4 linked regions of the Macaca mulatta genome follow. The protein of the gene in region 4 binds, or shares a complex with, the protein of the main gene of each other region. Links are inferred from orthologs where the notes say so. Each region holds a gene or a part of one and is shown on either strand. Other genes may lie near its edges. The genes, in order: GAST, GNAQ, GNAI2 and CCKBR.

What was found.
Region 1: the proteins of CCKBR (region 4) and GAST are in contact, whole or in part, in a cryo-EM structure (PDB 7XOW), measured with the Homo sapiens proteins. The link is inferred for Macaca mulatta from reciprocal best matches to the Homo sapiens genes CCKBR and GAST. Residues at the interface, in NP_795344.1 of Homo sapiens: Cys107, Pro114, Asn115, Gly118, Thr119, Phe120, Met134, Gly135, Val138, Tyr189, Gln204, Cys205, His207, Leu222, Val349, Tyr350, Ala352, Asn353, Arg356, Pro361, Ala363, His364, Leu367, Ser368, Ile372, His376, Tyr380; in NP_000796.1 of Homo sapiens: Glu85, Ala86, Tyr87, Gly88, Trp89, Met90, Asp91, Phe92.
Region 2: the proteins of CCKBR (region 4) and GNAQ are in contact, whole or in part, in a cryo-EM structure (PDB 7F8W), measured with the Homo sapiens proteins. The link is inferred for Macaca mulatta from reciprocal best matches to the Homo sapiens genes CCKBR and GNAQ. Residues at the interface, in NP_795344.1 of Homo sapiens: Thr87, Val88, Thr89, Asn90, Glu151, Arg152, Ala155, Ile156, Pro159, Leu160, Ala162, Arg163, Val164, Trp165, Gln166, Thr167, Ile241, Leu245, Gly248, Leu249, Val331, Leu335, His394, Arg396, Phe397; in NP_002063.2 of Homo sapiens: Arg30, Arg34, Asp35, Arg37, Arg38, Leu40, Ser198, Val199, Phe341, Lys345, Asp346, Ile348, Leu349, Gln350, Asn352, Leu353, Lys354, Glu355, Tyr356, Asn357, Leu358, Val359.
Region 3: the proteins of CCKBR (region 4) and GNAI2 are in contact, whole or in part, in a cryo-EM structure (PDB 7F8V), measured with the Homo sapiens proteins. The link is inferred for Macaca mulatta from reciprocal best matches to the Homo sapiens genes CCKBR and GNAI2. Residues at the interface, in NP_795344.1 of Homo sapiens: Thr87, Thr89, Arg152, Ala155, Ile156, Pro159, Leu160, Ala162, Arg163, Val164, Thr167, Ser169, Ile241, Gly248, Leu249, Lys328, Val331, Leu335, His394, Arg396; in NP_002061.1 of Homo sapiens: Glu28, Ala31, Arg32, Glu33, Val34, Lys193, Leu195, Thr220, Phe337, Thr341, Asp342, Ile344, Ile345, Asn348, Leu349, Lys350, Asp351, Cys352, Gly353, Leu354, Phe355.

The regions. Positions count from the first base shown.
Region 1 is NC_133421.1:66,049,121-66,053,922, reverse strand, and holds the start of GAST (gastrin), read right to left. Parts: upstream 3,167-4,802; 5' UTR 3,050-3,166; intron 268-3,049; 5' UTR 199-267; intron 1-198. UniProt on the Homo sapiens protein: Gastrin stimulates the stomach mucosa to produce and secrete hydrochloric acid and the pancreas to secrete its digestive enzymes. It also stimulates smooth muscle contraction and increases blood circulation and water secretion in the stomach and intestine.
Region 2 is NC_133420.1:109,009,694-109,014,496, forward strand, and holds the start of GNAQ (guanine nucleotide-binding protein G(q) subunit alpha), read right to left. Parts: upstream 3,231-4,803; 5' UTR 3,184-3,230; coding exon 3,048-3,183; intron 1-3,047.
Region 3 is NC_133407.1:113,724,208-113,728,486, reverse strand, and holds part of GNAI2 (guanine nucleotide-binding protein G(i) subunit alpha-2), read right to left. Parts: intron 1,857-4,279; exon of another isoform or gene 1,801-1,856; coding exon of another isoform or gene 1,731-1,800; intron 1,367-1,730; coding exon 1,324-1,366; intron 1,068-1,323; coding exon 926-1,067; intron 443-925; coding exon 282-442; intron 1-281. UniProt on the Homo sapiens protein: Guanine nucleotide-binding proteins (G proteins) are involved as modulators or transducers in various transmembrane signaling systems.
Region 4 is NC_133419.1:59,517,801-59,522,119, forward strand, and holds the end of CCKBR (gastrin/cholecystokinin type B receptor), read right to left. Parts: intron 3,324-4,319; coding exon 3,072-3,323; intron 2,906-3,071; coding exon 2,656-2,905; intron 2,348-2,655; coding exon 2,175-2,347; intron 1,986-2,174; coding exon 1,459-1,985; 3' UTR 884-1,458; downstream 1-883. UniProt on the Homo sapiens protein: Receptor for gastrin and cholecystokinin. The CCK-B receptors occur throughout the central nervous system where they modulate anxiety, analgesia, arousal, and neuroleptic activity.

The sequences.
Region 1 (4,802 bases), on a different chromosome or scaffold from region 4:
AGGCTGGTCTCAAACCTCTGACCTCAGGTGATCCACTTGCCTCAGCCTCCCAAATGCTGGGATTACAGGCGTGAACCACCGCGCCCAGGTGAGTCTGCAATTCCATGTGGAGTTGTGGACTATTTCTTCAGTTCAATTCTCCAGTTTCTGCCGGTTCCACGCCAGCCCCAAAGTCTCGTGTTTTTTCTCTTTACTTACCCTTATTACAGCCACTGCTTCTCCTGGAGAAAGTCAAATCCTAGGGCAATGGTTTTCCTAGGTTCTGTTCTGCAGAATTTGAGGCCATGTTAGTGGCTCTGTAGTTGTTTAAGTCATGTAATTTATTTATTTATTGAGACAGGGTCTCACTCTGTCACCTAGGCTGCAGTGCAGTAGTGCAATCACTGCTCACTGCAGACTATACCTCCTGGGCTCAGGTGATCCTCTCACCTCAGCCTCCAGAAGAGCTGGGACTACAGGCTTGCACCACCGCGTCCAGCTAATTTTTTTGTATTTTTTGTAGAAATGGGGTTTCACCATGTTGCCCAAGCTAGTCTTGAACTGTTGGGCTCAAGCAATCCTCCCACCTCAGCCTCCCAAAGTGCCGCGATTACAGACGTGAGCCACTGTGCTTGGCCCAAGACTTGTTATTTAAAGTGAACTTTTTAGGCCAGGCATGGTAATCCCAGCACTTTGGGAGGCTGAGGAGGACAGATCCCTTGAGCCCACAAGTTTGAGACCAGCCTGGGCAACATACCGAATCCCATCTCTACAAAAAATACAAAAATTAGCCGGGCATGGTGGCATGCACCTGTATTCCCAGCTACTTGGGAGGCTGAGGTGGGAGGATCCCTTGAGCCCTGGAGGTGGAGGTTGCAGTGAGCCGAGATTGCACCACTGTACTCCAGCCTGGGCGACAGAGTGAGACCCTGTCTCAAAAAAACAAAAACAAAAAGTGAAACTTTTAAATAGTAATACCAAAGGAACATAGACATCCAACTGTGTTACAGACCGCATGTTATCACTTTGGAGACTGCAGCACATTCAACGCTTGGCCAGCTCACACTGTTTTTTTGTGCGGCCCTGAGAGGAAAGGTTCTCCAGTCATTTTTGCTTAACTGAGGAATATCCTGTGATTATAATGAAGCAGTTAAGAAAAAATTAAGGCCGGGCGCGGTGGCTCAAGCCTGTAATCCCAGCACTTTGGGAGGCCGAGACGGGCGGATCACGAGGTCGGGAGATCGAGACCATCCTGGCTAACATGGTGAAACCCCGTCTCTACTAAAAAATACAAAAAACTAGCCGGGCGAGGTGGCGGCGCCTGTAGTCCCAGCTACTCGGGAGGCTGAGGCAGGAGAATGGCGTGAACCCGGGAGGCGGAGCTTGCAGTGAGCAGAGATCCGGCCACTGCACTCCAGCCTGGGCGGCAGAGCGAGACTCCGTCTCAAAAAAAAAAAAAAAAAAAAAAAAAAAGAAAAAATTAAGCTGTCACCATTAGCAATTATGTATCAGGGTGAAAGGGTGAATCCAGTTTGGGGAAAAGATATAATACAGAACTAAACTGGAATCTCAAACAAACGTAAAATTCAAATGGTCATCTGTTCCCTGGACTCACGATTTTTGTATTCTTTTAGTCTCATTATTCTGATTGGCTTTATCATAAGAAAATGATAAAAATTTTCTCTTGTCAGAATACATTTGTATTAATAAAGTACTGCTTTTAAGTTTTTCTTTTTTTCTTTTTGTGAGACAGAATCTTGCTCTGTCTCCCAGGCTGGAATGCAGTGGCTGGAGTGATCCTGGCTCACTGCAGCCTCGACTTTTTGGGCTCAAGAGGTCCTCCCACCTCAGCCTCCTGAGTAGCTGGGACTACAAGTGTGCACTACTATGCCCAGCTAATTTATTTGTTTTTATTTTTAGTAGAGATGAGGTCTCACTATGTTGCCCAGGCTGGTCTGGAACTCCTGAGCTCAAGTAATCTGCTTGCCTCAGCCTCCCAAAGTGTTGTGATCACAGGCATGAGCCACGGTGCCTGGCTATTAAGTTTTTCATAATGAGGTTCTCTGTTAGGTTTTCCTTGGAAGAAAAGAATTCTGCTGCTGAAGAAACGTTTGAAAACTCAGTGATCTGGAGCTGTACTGTCAGATGCTAACCACACGTTGGTTGTTCAGTGTTGTAGCCACCAATCACGTGTGGCTCTTTACATTTAAATTAATTAAATTAAAAAATTACAGCCAGGTGCAGTGGCTCACGCCTGTAATCCCAGCACTTTCAGAGGCCGAGGGGGTCGGATCACTTGAGGTCAGGAGTTTGTGACCAGCTTGGCCAACATGGTGAAACTCTGTCTCTACCAAAAATATAAAAAATTAGCCGGGTGTTATGGCAGGCGCCTGTAATCCCAGCTACTCAGGAGGCTGAGGCAGGAGAATTGCTTGAACCTGGGAGGCGGAGGTTGCAGTGAGCTGTGATCACGCCACTGCACTCCAGCTTGGGTGACACAGCAAGACTCTGTATAAAAAACAAACAACAACAACAACAACAAACTTCCTTACACCAACCCCATTTCAAGCACACACGTGGCTAGTGGCTACCATATTGAACAGTGCAGATAAAGAACATTTCCCGCATCATAGGACGTTCTTTTGGATGGCAGTGGTCTAGGAAAGGGCTTGAAGTGGGATCCAGGAGCTGTGGATTCCCATCCCAGCCCTGCCTAAAAATCCCTGTGACTTTGGGCAAGTCACATCTTGCCTCTGGGCCTCAGTTTTCTCACCTAAGAGAGAGGAGAAGAACCCCAGTCCTCCTCACCTCCCAGGGGAGGAGTGTGAAGGGAGAGGTTAAGGGCAGAGCCCCGGCTGGGACAGAGGGCAGGTGGAAGGCAAGGCTGGGAATACAAAGGTAGGTACTGGAGCCAAGACCTAGTTCCATCCTGGGATAAAGAAAGGGTCCCAGCACTGGGGACTCCAAGGGGTGAGCCCCAGACTCTGGCCAGTGGCCTGATACCTTGATGGGGGAGAGGACCTGTCAACCCACTTCCCAGCCTCTCCCCTCTCCTCCTGGGTTTTCTCACCTGCAGAGCTGGGAGGTGTGTGGTGTGGCGGTTGGGCCTGGTGCCTCTCAGGTCTCTGTTCTGCCTGGTGTTCCAGGCCTGCCTTATAAAGCCCTCGAGGTCCCTCCCAACTGTGCCCCCCCACCCCTACCCTGCCATATGAGTCCAGGCGAGAGGAATGGGGTGGGGCACAGGTACAGCCCATCGTCCTGCCCCGCCCTGTCATTTAGTGTCAGTCAGTCATCCAGGATGTGGGGGAAGGATAGGGGAGTTGACCTTCATGGTGAGGGGCTGGAGCGGGGTGGTGGCAGCTCTCCAGCTGTACCTAAGGGGCAGGAACCAAGCTCCCTTGGTCAGGAGCAATGCTCCCCACCTATCCTGGGGGTCAGAGGCCTGGTACTCATCTCTCAAACTACATAGGGACTTTTGTGGGTGGTGGTAGGTGAGGGAGTGAACCCGATGGGCTTAGATTCAGGGAAAGTAGATTTCACCATCCACTGATGTTTGATGAGTGTGTGAATGCGGGGTGATGTATTGATTCCCCGTCCCCTCCACTGGACTCTGCAAATACAATGTGTTACCAGGAGCAATGGATTGTGGGCTGATGGCCCTGTTCTCTCCTTCTGGTGGCTCACATCCTGGTCACCTCTGAAGCCCCTTCACCCTCCCCCTACCATGGAACACCCTCGGTGCCTTCTTCTCCTTAGGCCTTCTGTGCTGGTGTGAGTTTGGCTTGTAGCTGCCCCACATCTCCCAGGTCAGCTGCCCATGCACCACCACCTGCAAACCCCCTATGCAGAGCCAATTCCCGGGGGGTCCTGCCTCTCAAGTCTCCTTCATTTTGCTTTCAGGAGCTAGTAATCTGCAAAACAACCTTTTTTTTTTTTTTTTTTTTGAGACAAAGTCTAGCTCTGTCACCAGGCTGGAGTGCAGTGGCGTGATCTCAGCTCACTGCAACCTCCACCTTCCAGGTTCAAGCAATTCTTCTGCCTCAACGTCCCAAGTAGCTGGGATTACAGGTGCACGCCCCCACACCTGGCTAATTTTTTGTATTTTTGGTAGAGATAGGGTTTCACCATGTTGGGCGGCCTGGTCTCGAACTCCTGACCTCGTGATCGGCCCGGCTCGGTCTCCCAAAGTTCTGGGATTACAGGTGTGAGCCACCATGCCCAGCCAACAACTTTTCAGTGTCAAAGTATACCTTCAAATGGTTAGCAAACAGACTAAAGCATTTGCCGAAGATGGACCAGAAAACAAAACGGCACTTTGTTGACTTATTTGATAAACTGCTGCCTCCACATGGTTTGACCGGATGTAATGAGTTGTAGGCTGTTTTTGATTTTTCCACCGTTGAGAGCAAAGATTTTGCTTCTGTTCATGCGTCATCAGGCCCCCTCCTTTTCTGGGAGAGTTTGATTCCCCTTGGGTCTTGGGTAACGGCTGTGGTACCCACGCTCACAGCCAGCCTTGTTGAGAATTAATGGGTGATGAAGGAAGCAGGCTGTGCGGTGTCCATGGCAACCGACGGCTGAATAACCGTTGTGAATAACCACTCTGATCCAGAGCAGGACACGGTGACTCAGCAGATGGAATTAATGAAAATGACAAAAAGCAGTGCAGGCATTGGTGATGATTAATTGAATCACAGAATCTCAGAGATGGAAGGACTTTGAGGGGGCTTGGGAGAACAGGTGGGGTGGGTGTAGCTCTGTTCATACACTAGGGGAATGAATGAAGACATTCGTGTTGCTGTGGTAACTCTAATGGGAAATGA
Region 2 (4,803 bases), on a different chromosome or scaffold from region 4:
CTTTACACCTACAAAATACACAAAAACATTAACCAAGTAAAAATGAAGTATGCTCTTGTGTATCTACATTGAATGCAGAGACTAAGTTTTGAGTGTCAAAATAAACACTAATATAAATGAATTCAAAGAATGAGTAAGTTAAAAGACAACAAGAAAATAATTCAAAATTTAATGTAATATTCTTATAGTGGTAGATTTCAGGGTTCACGTTTCTAAAGTTAAAATAAAATATATAATATATAAGCATATGGAATAAATTTGGAAGATTAGCACAGTTGCCGAATATAAATCAAAATAGCCCAAATTTTACTGCCATACTTTCATCTAGTCAGGTACCTACTACTTGCCTTTTTAAATGTCTCCATATTATTAATATACAAAAGTAAATAATTGTATGAGCAAATGCAAGGGTACCCACTTTTATCCCTGTCAAACAAATCCTTTTCCATTAAAATGGCATCAAGTCTTGAACTAAAATTTACTTTGAAAACAATTTTATACTGAATTTCATTTCAAAATACAGTTATTCCTCCATAAACTGGTTAAAAATATTAGTAGATCTTTAAACTGTGAATGGATACATTCTATAATCTCCTCTGGACAGGTTTTGTTTAAATGATAGAAGGAACCAGAACATTCAGTCTACTCATCAAAGCAGCAAATCAGGAATTCCTCAAATGAAATCCTTCCCTAATATCTTCCTTGTTGAAATCAACCATCCTGGATTCAAAAACTCCTGAAATCACACTCATACACACACATGCACGCACAAATCCACATTTAGCGTACATTACTATATAGTGTATTGTGGTATTTATGTTGCAAAGGCAACATACCAAGAACATGAAGCAGTAACAATACTTGCATGATGTTCCGCGAATAAGAGGAAAAAAAAGTTCTCCACACTACCACCACTTTAGCAGTAAAACTGGTTTACACTTTTTCTCAGAAAATTATCTCCAAGTTCATTTTTAAAAGCACAGTGTTATTTAAACACACAGTATGGAATTAAGCATCCATGTAAGTGTATTTCCCTTAAACATTCAAACCTAGGCCCATTGACAAACCGGTTCCCTGGGCTTCAACTCTTAGCTGCTGGGAAACTCAGAGCTGTCACTTTTCAGGCAAACAGGGTTGGCTGGAGAGACCTCAACTGCCCAGTTCACAGTTAAACAGAAACAAAGACTGTCAACAGGGCAACAGAAGAAACAAACAATTCTTAAAACAAGTCTCTCTAAAATACGTGCTTTTCCCCTTAATCATGCACTTAAACACTCTACATATTTCTTTTGTTCTTTATTTTCTTCTCAATCTTGAGAACTCAGAAAACATTCCACTGCCTGTTTTCAGCCATTAGAAGTAGCTCAAAATGAGAATTTAAAAAAAAAAAATCTTTACTTTCCAACTGCAGTTTGCCTCCTCCCTGGCTTCATTCCCCTAAGCCCACCTCTTTCATCTAGTGTTTCGCCTTCAGTTCTTTATAAACATGTGCCCATTTATCTGAGTTTCAAAATGAAGACATAAAGCATGTCATGTGAATTAACTATTAGTAACTATGTGTGTGATCAGTATATTTTGCTCCTGCTTGTAAATGATACAGTACATAAGCAGTTCATTCCCAAAGGCAATTGGTTCCTTGAGCCAGCAAATGGAATGCTCAAGATAAGAAAGAAAATGCATGCTTCTCAAACACCAACTGACAGTACAATATTCTTTTCTTACAGAAATGTTTGAGAAACACATTTATTATACATGCAAATATCCAGAACACAAGACATTTTTCAGGCCTGTTACTGCAAAGCTGTTTGCTCTTCCCACCACAATAGCTCAGGGTTCTGTCACTGTGGCTTGTATGTGAATCCTGATCGCTTGATTCTGAACATCCTCTCTGAGATAATCATCAATAAATTTCTATTTGAGAAATGGCATTTTCTTGCTAACTTAGAGCTAAAGCAGAATTTTTTTTCAAGACTAGAGGAAAATTTTTCCTGTATGCTTCCCGTTTTCCTTCTAGCCCAGATTCCAAAGATATTAAAATGCTATGTGTTTTAAACAAAAGGTTTCTATTTGTTGCCAAGAGAGTAACTGAGAGACTGCACTGGTTTTCGGCAGTAACTATTGTGAATTCAGGCCTACATCTGGGTTGCCTCATTAAACAAAAGATACCGGTCGCTGTCAACAACCACACAGCACAACACTCCCCTACCCTCATCTTTATCTAGAAGCAATGGTGCAGACGAGAATCACGCCTGTCACCATCCACTAGCCAAGAAACTCTTCTAGGCTCCCTCCTTTCGATGGTCTGGTGGCTAGAGAACAGCACTTCTGTGACACATTTGGGCTCGCCCTCCCGCCCCGCCCCCAATACACAGGCCCTTTCCTTGGAGGGCCAACCACTTGGCTTCCTCATCATCAGTGCTCCGGGAATCCAGTTGCGAGTCTGCCCACCGTTCCCCCATTCCCTCCTGACCCCAGAGGGCACTGATAATGGATGCACACCGGCCACCCCACCGCAGGCCATCTCCCAACGTGCCCCAGCTCCGCTCGCCACCCGCTGGGCCACACACACGGCTCCCCGCGCCACCACCCCATGGGATGCCGCGGCCACGACACTGGAAGTTCAACCCCTCTGCCCACCTTTCCACCCCCGCGCCTCTGGCCGGAGTGATCTGCCATTTAGCAGATGCACAGCAGATAAGGCACAGCCCTCAGGGACCCAAAAAGAAAAAAGCCGAGACACCCGGCAGGGCAGCCGCGACCCCTCTGCTGCGTGTGTGTATCTGGGTGGGTGGGTGGGTGGGGGTGTGTGTGTGTGTGTGTGTGTGTGTGTAACGCGCCTGCGTGTGTGTATCTGGGTGTGTGTGTGTGTGTGTAACGCGCCCGCGCGCCCGCGCGGGTGAAGGCAGTGGCCGGGGGCGCGCCCGGGAGGGTAGGGGCTAGCCGGGGGCGCCGGGGGGCGGGGGACGCCGAGAGGGCAGCTGTCCCGCAGGGCCAAGGATGGTGGGCTGGGGGCGCAGAGGCCCGGCGGGGCCCCGGGCGGTACTCACCGAGCAGCAGCAGCTTGAGCTCCCGGCGGGCGTCCCGCTTGTCCCTGCGGAGCTGCCGCTCGATCTCGTCGTTGATCCGCCGGGCTTCCTTGGCCTCCTCGCTCAGGCAGCACGCCATGATGGACTCCAGAGTCATTCTTCCAAAGTGCCTCCGCTGTAGCCCCGCCGGCACCCCCTGCTCACAGCGCGCACACACACCCTCCCGCCCTCGCTCCCCCGAGGCAGCGGTGGCCGCCGAGCCCCCGCCGCCCGGGCGCGCGGCCGGGACGAGCTCCGGGAACCGCCGCGGGGGCAGCGGCCGGAGCCGGAGCCACCAGGTGGGCCGGGGGCGCGGTGGGAGCGGATGGCCTGGGCCGACGGGAGAAGCGAGGCGGGCGCGGGAGGCGGGCGCTGGCTCGGGGGGCGCGTGAGAGAAGGCCGCCGCGCCCGGCCTCGCTCAGACGCCCGCGCCTCCTTCCCCAGGAACGGGCGGCCCGCCTCGCCCCCCGAGCCGCCGCCGCCGCCGCCGCCTGTGAGGCTCCCCTACGCCGTGCGCCTGGCGGCGAGAGCTCATCCACCGGGGTGTCCCCGCAGCGAGCGGCCGCCGACGGCTCCCCGCGCCCGGCGCGCCCGCTCCTCGCCGCCGCCTGACACGGCTCCCGGGCGCCTTCGGCCCTGTCCGCGCCCACCGCCCGGCTCGCGCGCAGACCCGGTTCCCGGCCCGCCCGGCAACCGCGCGCTCCTCCGCCTCCGCCTCCGCCCCCGCCCCCGCCAGACGCCCACCCCCTGCCCCGATTGCCAGGCGCGGAGCGGCTGCTCAGTGCGCGCCCTCCCCCTCGCCACACACACACATTTTCTTCTTTCTCTGAACTGGAGCACAGATCCGGGAGGGAGGAGGCGGCGGCGAAAGGAGGAGGGGAGGAGGCGGAGGGGACGGGCGCGGGAGGAGGGGAGCCGGGAGGCGGTGCCGCCCGGCCCCTCCTGGAAGGCTTTCCTGGGCTCGCGGCCGCCGCGGCGCGCCTCCCAGTGCGGCTCTCGCCTCGCCCGCGCGGCTCCCGGGCTGGGCCGGCTCTCTCGGGCTCTGCGGACGCCCACTGCTCCCGTACCCTCGGCAGAGCCCGCTGGCGCCGCGGTCACGGCCGCCCCCGGCCGCCGACGTGCAGCCCGAGCCGGCGGTCGCCGCTGCGTGCTAGGACCGCCGCCGACCTGCGGCTGCCGTCCGGCCGGGCGTGGTGAGGCGGGAAAATGGCGGTCTCTGCCTGCCTCAGCCCACCGGCCCGGGAGCGCGGCCGCGGCCCCTGCTGAAGTCGCGGGAGGCGGCCCCGCGGAGCCCCGCACGCGCTCCCTGCGGCGCCGGCGCTGGCGTCCGCGGCTCCCGCGCTGTGCCTGTGTGCTCCGCGGGGACGCTCCTCAGCCGCTTCTGTGTTTCCCGTTCCTATTTCTAAAACGCCATTCGGTTAGAAACTCTCGTGTCACCTCTGACCCCGGTGCAGTCTTAGAAAATAAGATCCTCTATACTGTGGGGGGCAACTGGGGAAGGGAAGGAATTGGCACCGGTGCCCGGAGGCACAGGGGGAGATTCACAGGCGAAGCTGTCCGCAAAGTAACGAGAGATAGAAATCTAAATCCTGAGCAGAGAAAGGAAGCTGCCCAAGTTTCCCAGCCTCCCGATAGGTTCCAACTTTTCATGCCTTTGTTTTTTTGGTGGTGGTTGGTTGTTTCTGTTTTTTTTTAAGTTGTTATTGTTTTTGTTTCACAAGTTCTCTTGTTTCTGACA
Region 3 (4,279 bases), on a different chromosome or scaffold from region 4:
GGCTGCAAATGTTCTTTAGAAGACTGTATGTCAAGACAGATCAGACTCAACTGGAAGAGATGTACTGTATAAGCCACCTGCCTGTCATTCCTCCTGGTCGTTCAATAACGTGTCACCCACCTACCCCCCAAACCAAAAAACACCAAGGCCTTGGTTAACGGTCTTCGGTTTCATGAGCAAAGACCAGCAGTGTCCTTCTGGGGGTTCTCAGGCCCTCCAGTCCAGCCTTTAGTCCTCCCCCAGCCCCTGCCCTGCCCAGCCCAGCCCCTCAGAGCACTCACTAGGCGGCTGAGTCGTTGAGCTGGTATTCCCTTGAGCGGCCAAAGCAGGCCTGCACACCATGGTCAGCCCAGAGCCTCCGGATGACGCCGGACAGGTCATCGGGGAGCACGCCTTGCTCCTCAGCGGTGCAGGACAGTGCAAATAGCTGCCTGGCGTCGTCCTGGGCACAGCGGCGGGTGGTCAGGCAGTTGAAGGAATATACCCCCACCCTGCCAGAGGCAGGGAAACCTCTGGAATGGGGCCCAGGCTAGGGTATTCTTGGATTCCCTAGGATGAGACTTGCCCTAAAACCTTTTTTTTTTCTTTTTTCTGCAATGGAGTCTAGCTCTGTCACCAAGTCTAGAATGCAGTGGGGCGGTCTTGGCTCACTGCATCCTCCACTTTCTGGGTTCAAGCGATTCTCCTGCTTCAGCCTCCCAAGTAGCTGGGACTACAGGCACGTGCCACCATGCTCGGCTAATTTTTGTATTTTCGGCAGAGATGGGGTTTCACCATGTTGGCCAGGCTGGTCTTGAACTCCTGACCTCAGGTGATCCACCTGCCTCAGCCTCCCAAAGTGCTGGGATTACAGGCATAAGCCACCACACCCAGCCACCCTGAAACCTTTTGGGAGGTGGGAGAGGGTGGGGCGGAGGGCACATACCGCTCTGGAGGGGTCGGCAAAGTCGATCTGCAGGTTGCCCATGGCTTTGACAATGGCCATGATGGACTGGATGGTGTTGCTGTAAACAACCGCCCGGTACTGCCGGCATTCCTCCTCGGAGTAGCCATCCTCGTGGATGATCCTGATAGCCAGGGACCAGGAAGGTTAGTGTCCCCAGGGCACTGGGAGTTCCCACAGCTGCCTGGGGCTGCTGGGACCTGCTTCAGAGAAGAAAAAACTGCCCCTGACCCACTGGGACCTGAGGAAAAGTGACTGCCTCTGAGAAGGTTCTGGGCCTGGCTAAGACTGGCTGGGCCTGTAGTCGGGGGCAGTACAGGCCCAGAGGATGAAGAGGGGAAGCTGGAGTTTGGGCACTGCCTCTGGGATACAGCACTTACTTCATCTGCTTGACGATGGTGCTCTTCCCTGACTCCCCAGCACCTGGAACAGAGGGCACAGGTGGTCAGGGGCAGGCCCAGAGGGGCTCCACAGGCACAGAACAAATGCCCAGACACCTGTAGCCCAGGAGGCAGAACTAACCATCCTACCAGCTGCACTGTGAGATGGAGGCAGCTGGGCCTGGTGGGCAGTTGAGCTATCAGGAATGCAGCTGGCAGGGCCACAGTGGTCAAGGTAACCTAGAGCACCTGTGCCCCATGGCAGACTCTCTGCAGGCCTTTGCCTCCCACAAGCTCTGCTGCCCACCATGGCTCCCCATTGTCCTGGTTGAGTTCAGGGGTCTTGGCTGGAGACTTGGCCAGACCTGAAGGAGTCAACCTGTTCTCACATACATAGGCTCACCAACCTGTGCAGCTGGTGCATGCCAATATGGTACCCTGGGCAGAGCTGGCAGGAAGATGCCCTGCATACTCCATCCAACAGGGTAGCAGCCCTTCTTCTCCCCACACTCTGAGCCTTAGCAATCAGGGCCCTAAGCAGGAGCACAGCGTCACACTTCAGCTTTCTGGACGTGGCCCAATGCCCCGCCCTCTGCTCACGGCACCCAGGTCTGCCCTGAGCAGATGGAGGCTAGAAGGCTAGAATCTGGGAGACCTACAGTTTAACACAGAAACGTACTGACTCATGAATCTGGGAGACCTGCGATGTATTTCACACACCCACACCCACACACGCCCATACTGACTCAAGCTTTTCCCTGGCCTGGTACACCCCTGGCCCATATTTCTCCTTAGCTGGTACTGAGATTTGCTGCATTCTCTCGTGTTAGTCACAGAAGATATTGTTTCTGTTCCCATTCTACAGACAAGGACATTGAGGCTCAGAAAAATAAAATATTGATCTAAGATAATGTAGCCAGGACTCAGAAGGGCAAGAGGGTGGAGGGAACCCATGATGCCAGGTCCACCCTGCCATTCTCAAAATGTGGCTAAGACCCTGCAGGACAATGCCCTGGGGAGGTGTTTAAAAGAGCAGATTCCACCGGCGCGGTGGCTCACGCCTGTAATCCCAGCACTTTGGGAGGCCGAGGCAGGTGGATCACCTGAAGTCAGTAGTTCGAAACCAGCCTGGCCAACATGTCAAAACCCCATCTCTACTAAAAATAACAAAAACTAGCTGGGCATGGTGGCGGGTGCCTGTAATCCCAGAGGCTCGGGAGGATGAGGCAGAAGAATCGCTTGAACCTGGGAGGTGGAGATTGCAGTGAGTCGAGATCATGCCATTGCACTCCAGCCTCGGCAACAAGAGCGAAACTTGGTCTTAAAAAAAAAAAAAAAAAAAAAAAAAGCAAACTCCCAGGTCCCATCCCAGATAACAGCCAGATCTTGAGGAGTGCAGCCCAGGAGCCTGTATTACCCAGGGAGTCTGTGTGAAGAAGGACCAGGAGGGCCACCCAACTCCCTGGCTAGGGGCCAGAGGGAGTGGAGGCAAAGCCTCACCTTGACCTTGCTCCCTTGCTGCTGGCTGTCTTGAGCTCCAGGTCGAATGGCCCCCAGCTGGGCCCTGCTGTTCTTCCCAGACCCCTCTGCTCCTGCTCCATCACTGCCAGTCAGACCTGCAGCTGCCAGGTACTACCTGTAGCCACCTCCAGCACCCTGCTCATGCTGTTCTCTTTGCTGGGAATATGTGCCCCATGCCCCATTCACAGTGTTTCAGTTCTGATCACTGTGGCACGTCTGTTCCTCTGTACAGCTTAGCTGGGTGGCCAGTGCAGTCTGTGCAGAGGTCAAACTTGGGGACCCAGGCCAACCTTACCAGTATCCCTCGGGGCTGGTCAAAACTACCTCAGAAGAATGAAGGTGCTAACACACAAACAAACACAAGCAGTAACAATAACATCGGCAATATTGACAGCAAAGCTATATGAAAACAGCGCCCACCATGTGCCGGATGCTGTTCTACATCAATGACACCCACCAACTGCCACCTCCACAGCAATCCTGGGAGGTGGGTTCCATTCTCACCCCGCTCTAACCAATGAAGGAACTGAGGTCCAGGGAGGCTGAAGTCACAGGTTAGAGTCCCCTCTGCAGGGAGCGCATTTGTCCACCATGCAGTCCCTCCTAGAACTGTCCTGAGTACCTGGTACTGCAGCGGAGCCACACAGTCCACCTGGCACTGGGTTCACTCCCTGTCTCCCCAGACAGACTCTGGGCCATGTGCGCAGTGCTCAACAAGCAGCAGCAGGCATTGGGATATGGTGGCAGGCCGTGCCAAGGCCCCTGCCCACCTTCAGCCCCCTACGCCAGAGACCACCCTGAGGGGAAGGGCCTGAGCCCTCCTCACAAATGCCACCAGGTGTCTGCAATCACTGAGCTTCTGACTGTCCCAGGCCTGCTTTCCAGGATGAGGGGAGGGGATGTGGGGAGATGGGGAGTGAAAGCTAGTTGGGTAAGAGGTTTCTTTTTGAGGGTGGTGATTATATTCTGGAATTAGATAGCAGTGATGGTTGCACAACCTTGTGGACATACAAATGTGCAGGCCCTGGGCAGGCTGGGGCAGCAATCCCCTCTATTGCTTTAGCCCCTGGGCACTACAGGTGCCAGGCCCACTATCTTCACTGGGGTGTATACCAGAGTATATACTAGCACCACTCCCTCCCCATTGGGCTGTGCATGGCAGAGGGGCAGCCAGGATCTCCATACTAACACTCCTCCGCCTGCCAATGGGGACACAGGGAAAGGTCCCAGGAAAGCCTCACAGTGATGCCCCATCACCAAGGCCCATCCCCCTGGGGCTCAAAGCACCCACTGGGGCAGGGAAGGCAGCAGTAGCCACCTGACTATCCTCCTCACTGGCTCCTCCAGAGCAGGAGGAAGAACCAGGAGCCAGTCACAGCCAGGATGGGGGGAACTGAAGGAGCAGAGGCCAAGGATGCCAAGTCATGAGTCTCCA
Region 4 (4,319 bases):
TTTTATAAACTTTAGGTCCCACAAAACTTGTTTCTGCTCCTCATGGGTGGGTCTTTTTCCCATCTCCAGCCCAGTGTCTACTTCAACACCATTATTTTCTCTTGCTCTAACTTACTGTATGACCTTGGGCAGCTTACCTTCCTGCTCTGGGCCTCAGTTTCCCCTATCGGTTACAAGATGAAGCATCAAAAACCCCTCCTCCAATATACTATGCCTCTGATTATCCATGTATGTCTCCTTAGTGAGGTCCTCAGTTCCTGTTCTTCCTCATTTGTCATTGTGTGTGGAGAGGTGATATTGCTGGTTTTTGCCTGTCTCGGGCTAGATCATTCTTGTAGTAAAAGGGAGACTAGGTTCTCAGACTCCTATTCAGTTCTTTTTTGTTGTAGCTGCTAAGAGTGCTTCCATTTGGCAGAATCTTGGCCAGATTTTGACACTGGAGAAAAGAGTACAGTAAAAAATCCCTACTCTTTAATTAACTTCTGTATACTTGTCATGGTCTGATCTCTGGTGTTTCACACACACACTGAATAAACTTAGTCTTACTATACAGTGCTTCTTCTTTTATCTTTTCATCAAAATTTAACAAGTATCCATTAATATAGTATCTTAACAGTGGCACCACTTTGGGATAATGTGATCAGGAATCATGATACGTCATGGATATGCCATTTTCCATCCCCATTCACAGTTACTGCAACACTGGAATGTAGGTAGAGGTTGAAAATCCAGAAAGAATATGCACAGTCACATTGAGCCTCAGAGGCTGGGCTTTCTGGCAAGGGGTTGTGCACAGTGGTGTGCAACAGTGGGAGAGAACTGACAGAAGGATACTGCAAAATCCTTGCCTCCTCACCTGCACCAAAAGAATCCAGAAAGGAAGTTCAGGAGGAAGCCAAATAATTTATTATCTCTTGAACAGTTTGGGTAAGGAAGGAGAGGGCAGGGCCACGGTCCTTAACTGGAAAGGAATGAAGAACGTTTTCAGTGCAGAATGGTCTGTTGGTCAGAGGTATGAGATTAGGCCTGATGGTATTTTCAGTACTGATTGGGAAAGGGCATTGTGATCTCAAACTAGGAGCATCCCAGAGTCAGTCCTGTGCCAGGCTCCATAGTCTCTAAAACAATCAGTGCCATTAATCTGTGTGTGAGAGGCAGGTCAGCACTTGTCGGAGTTCCCACTGTGTAGAAATAGTTCACTGCTAGGGACGCTGTGTCTGTCAGTGTCATGTTTCTATGGGCCAGGCTCAGTCCTGTATCAGAGGCATGCCTCCTTTCCTGTGTACTGCTCCATTCTTGTTCCTTTTGTGTCACATAACCTACCTTTTCCTGTGCTTTGGGGTTAGTCCATGCTTTGGGTGCCGGTCTCCTGCGTCAGTTGTGGTTTGTGTTTTGTGTGTCTGGAAGGGTCAGTACTTGTCATTTGCCCTGCCTCAGCCCCCACGGCCCCTCTACTCCTCATCCAGGGCCCAGTGTGCTGATGGTAGTGTAGCTAAGCCTGGACAGCGAAGCAATGGATGGAGTGGGAGGGTCCTCATCGGGAAGAGGCCTGGGGCGAGCTCGTGGAGGCCGGGGGCAGCAGCGAGCGCACGTTTCCAGGCAGGCCTGGCGAAAACGACGGTGCATGAAGCAGTAGACCAGGGGGTTGACACAGGCCGAGGCATAGCTCAGCAAGTGAATGAAGGAGATAGGAGCACCTGAGAGTGCTCTGTGTGCACCCAGGCCATCAAAGGCGCGCCACGTGTTGGCACTATAAACTGGCAACCAACACAGAAAAAAAAGCACAACGATCACCAGCAACATTCGCACCACGCGCTTCTTAGCCAGCAGCTTGGCCTGGGTGGGCCGGGAGCCGGGCCCAGGAGCCGTCAGCGCCGACAGCTCCAGTGCAGGCCGGGAACGCGGAAGTTGCACATAGCAGCCATCACTGTCTTCGCCAACCGCGCCAGTCTCAGACCGGCAACGCCCGTTCTGGTGAATAGCACCTGAGCACAGAGGGTGGGCGGTCAGAGAAAAAGGCAAGAGTCCTCCCAGTTTCCAGCCCAGTCCCCACCTGACCTCCGCTCCCAGCCGTAACCCCATTTCCAGCTTTTTTCTCACCTCCATTTTAGCCCCACCCACTCCAGCAGGCCCTGTCGCCCTCCAAAGCTCCGCCTCTTCCAGATTTTGCTCACCTGGTCCAGCCCCACCTGGCAGCCTGCCTTGGCTTCGGACTCTGCTTTGGCTCCCGCTGTCACTGTCACCGTCAAAGCGAAGCCCTAAGTAGAGCTCGCGAGAGATAAGCCCATAGGCCACGGCCATAACCACACCCGGGATGAAGAACAAGAGCAGGAGCAGCAGTACGGACCTGAAGGCAAGACAGACAGATCACTCGGGTTTCTGTCCAGCTATAATCACAGATGGAGAAAAAGCCAAGGACTGGTGTTTCTAGGGCTGTGGCCAGGTACCTGAAATAGGAGTAGGATTTGGGGGTGCCACTGGGAAGGGAGAGAGAACTGCAGAAGAGACCCAAACTGGAACTCCAGGGTGGTGGATGCGGAATAGGAATTGGCGTGGTAATTCTCCGGGCAGCTGGAGGAAGATTCTGGGCAATGGTCGTAATCATCTAATAGGGGTGACAAAGGAATTCCTAGGATAATTTGTGGGTAAGCTCACCAGGTCTGGCGGACCCGTGCACTGGGCCAGCGATGCACGCACTGTAGCACACGAGGGCCCACTGGTTGCACGACGGTGTACACGGGGTAGGGCACCATGAGTAGTCCGGACAGCAGCCACGTGGCTACGATCACGCGAGCCGCGTGGGAGCGCGTCTGCCATACTCGTGCCTGCAGTGGTCGGCAGATGGCGCTGTACCGCTCCAGTGCTATGGCCACGAGGCTTAGCGTGGACACGCTCACAGACACACCTAAGCAAGGGAAGAGACAGGAGGGAGTCACCTAGGAAACTTGCGCTGCACAACCATCAGTGGGACTTCCTCACACCCCTCCCTGCCAACTGGGGAGGACCCCTACATCCACAAGAGCTTTAGGAGGGGAGAATGGCAAATGGGGGTGCGTGGTTGTCTCACCCACCCATGAAGTAGGAAACCGCCTTGCAGATAACTGTGCCAAAGATGAATGTGCCCATGAGATTGGGCAGGAGGGTGAAGGGCATGCAAGCCACAGCCAGCAGGAGGTCGCTGACTGCCAGTGAGAGTAGGAAGGCATTGGTGACGGTCCTCAGGCGGCGGCTCAGTCCCAGGACCACGATGATGAGCACGTTTCCTCCAACGCTCATCAGGAAGATCACTGCGTAAAGAGTGATTCTAATGGCCAGCTCCAATTCTGGGTAAGAAAAGGGAGAGGTGGCAGTAGGTGGTCAGCCCTCATTCAGCCAAACCCCCCTCCTTCCCTCTTATCCCCAACCCTCATTACCCAGCCAGATGCCTACATTCGCCACCCAGGAACTGCTCAGTAAATGGTGAACTTGAATCCTTTAGCCTTCTAACCCCTTGAGGTTTGGTTAAATTGGCCCAACTCTGCCCTTCCTTAAGAAAGCCTGCCTCTTCTCAACGTTCGTTCCAAATCTTTCTCTTTGCAGCCAAACTTCTTAAGAGGATATTTGTGTCTTCTCATTTGCTCTTCAATCTATTACAATACAATATTCTGTACCCTATCGCTGCATACTTCTTCCCAAGTACACTAATCTTTAACTGCTAAATTCAAAGGTCCTTTCTTAGCCTATTCTATTTGACCTCTCTAGAGTATTTTACACTGTTGATAACCCACTGCCTTTTAAATCACATCAGATCATGTCTTTATTCTCTAAAGGCAAAAGCAAAAAAAATCCTTCGCTTATTCTCTACTGTCTGCAACCCCTCAGAATGTCATCAAGATCTTCCCAGAAGGGATCTCTTTCTCCCCTACCCCCTCCCTGCACTGCAGCCATTTAAGCAAGCCACTGGATGACACAGTTTCTTGAATGCATCATTTGCACTTGTGACTCTCTTCCTGCTCAAGCTAGTTTCTCAGACCGGAATACTCTTTCACCAACCCTCCTCACAATTTCCACCCCTCATGACAAGCTTATTTTCTGTATCTGGTGAATTCCTATTCATCCCTTGTTGGTCAAGACTCAAAGTGACTGCTACTTCTTCTGTAAGGCCCTTCTGGATACCTCATTTGGTATTACTCTCTCCTTTCTCTGACCCATGCCTGTTTCTTACACAACTGTTAAAGCCTGTTTTACTTCTGCCTTGTATTTTAATTCTCTCCAAACATTCATTCTCACTCTATAAACATTTACAGAGGACTCTCTTTGTGCTAGGCACTGGGGACAAA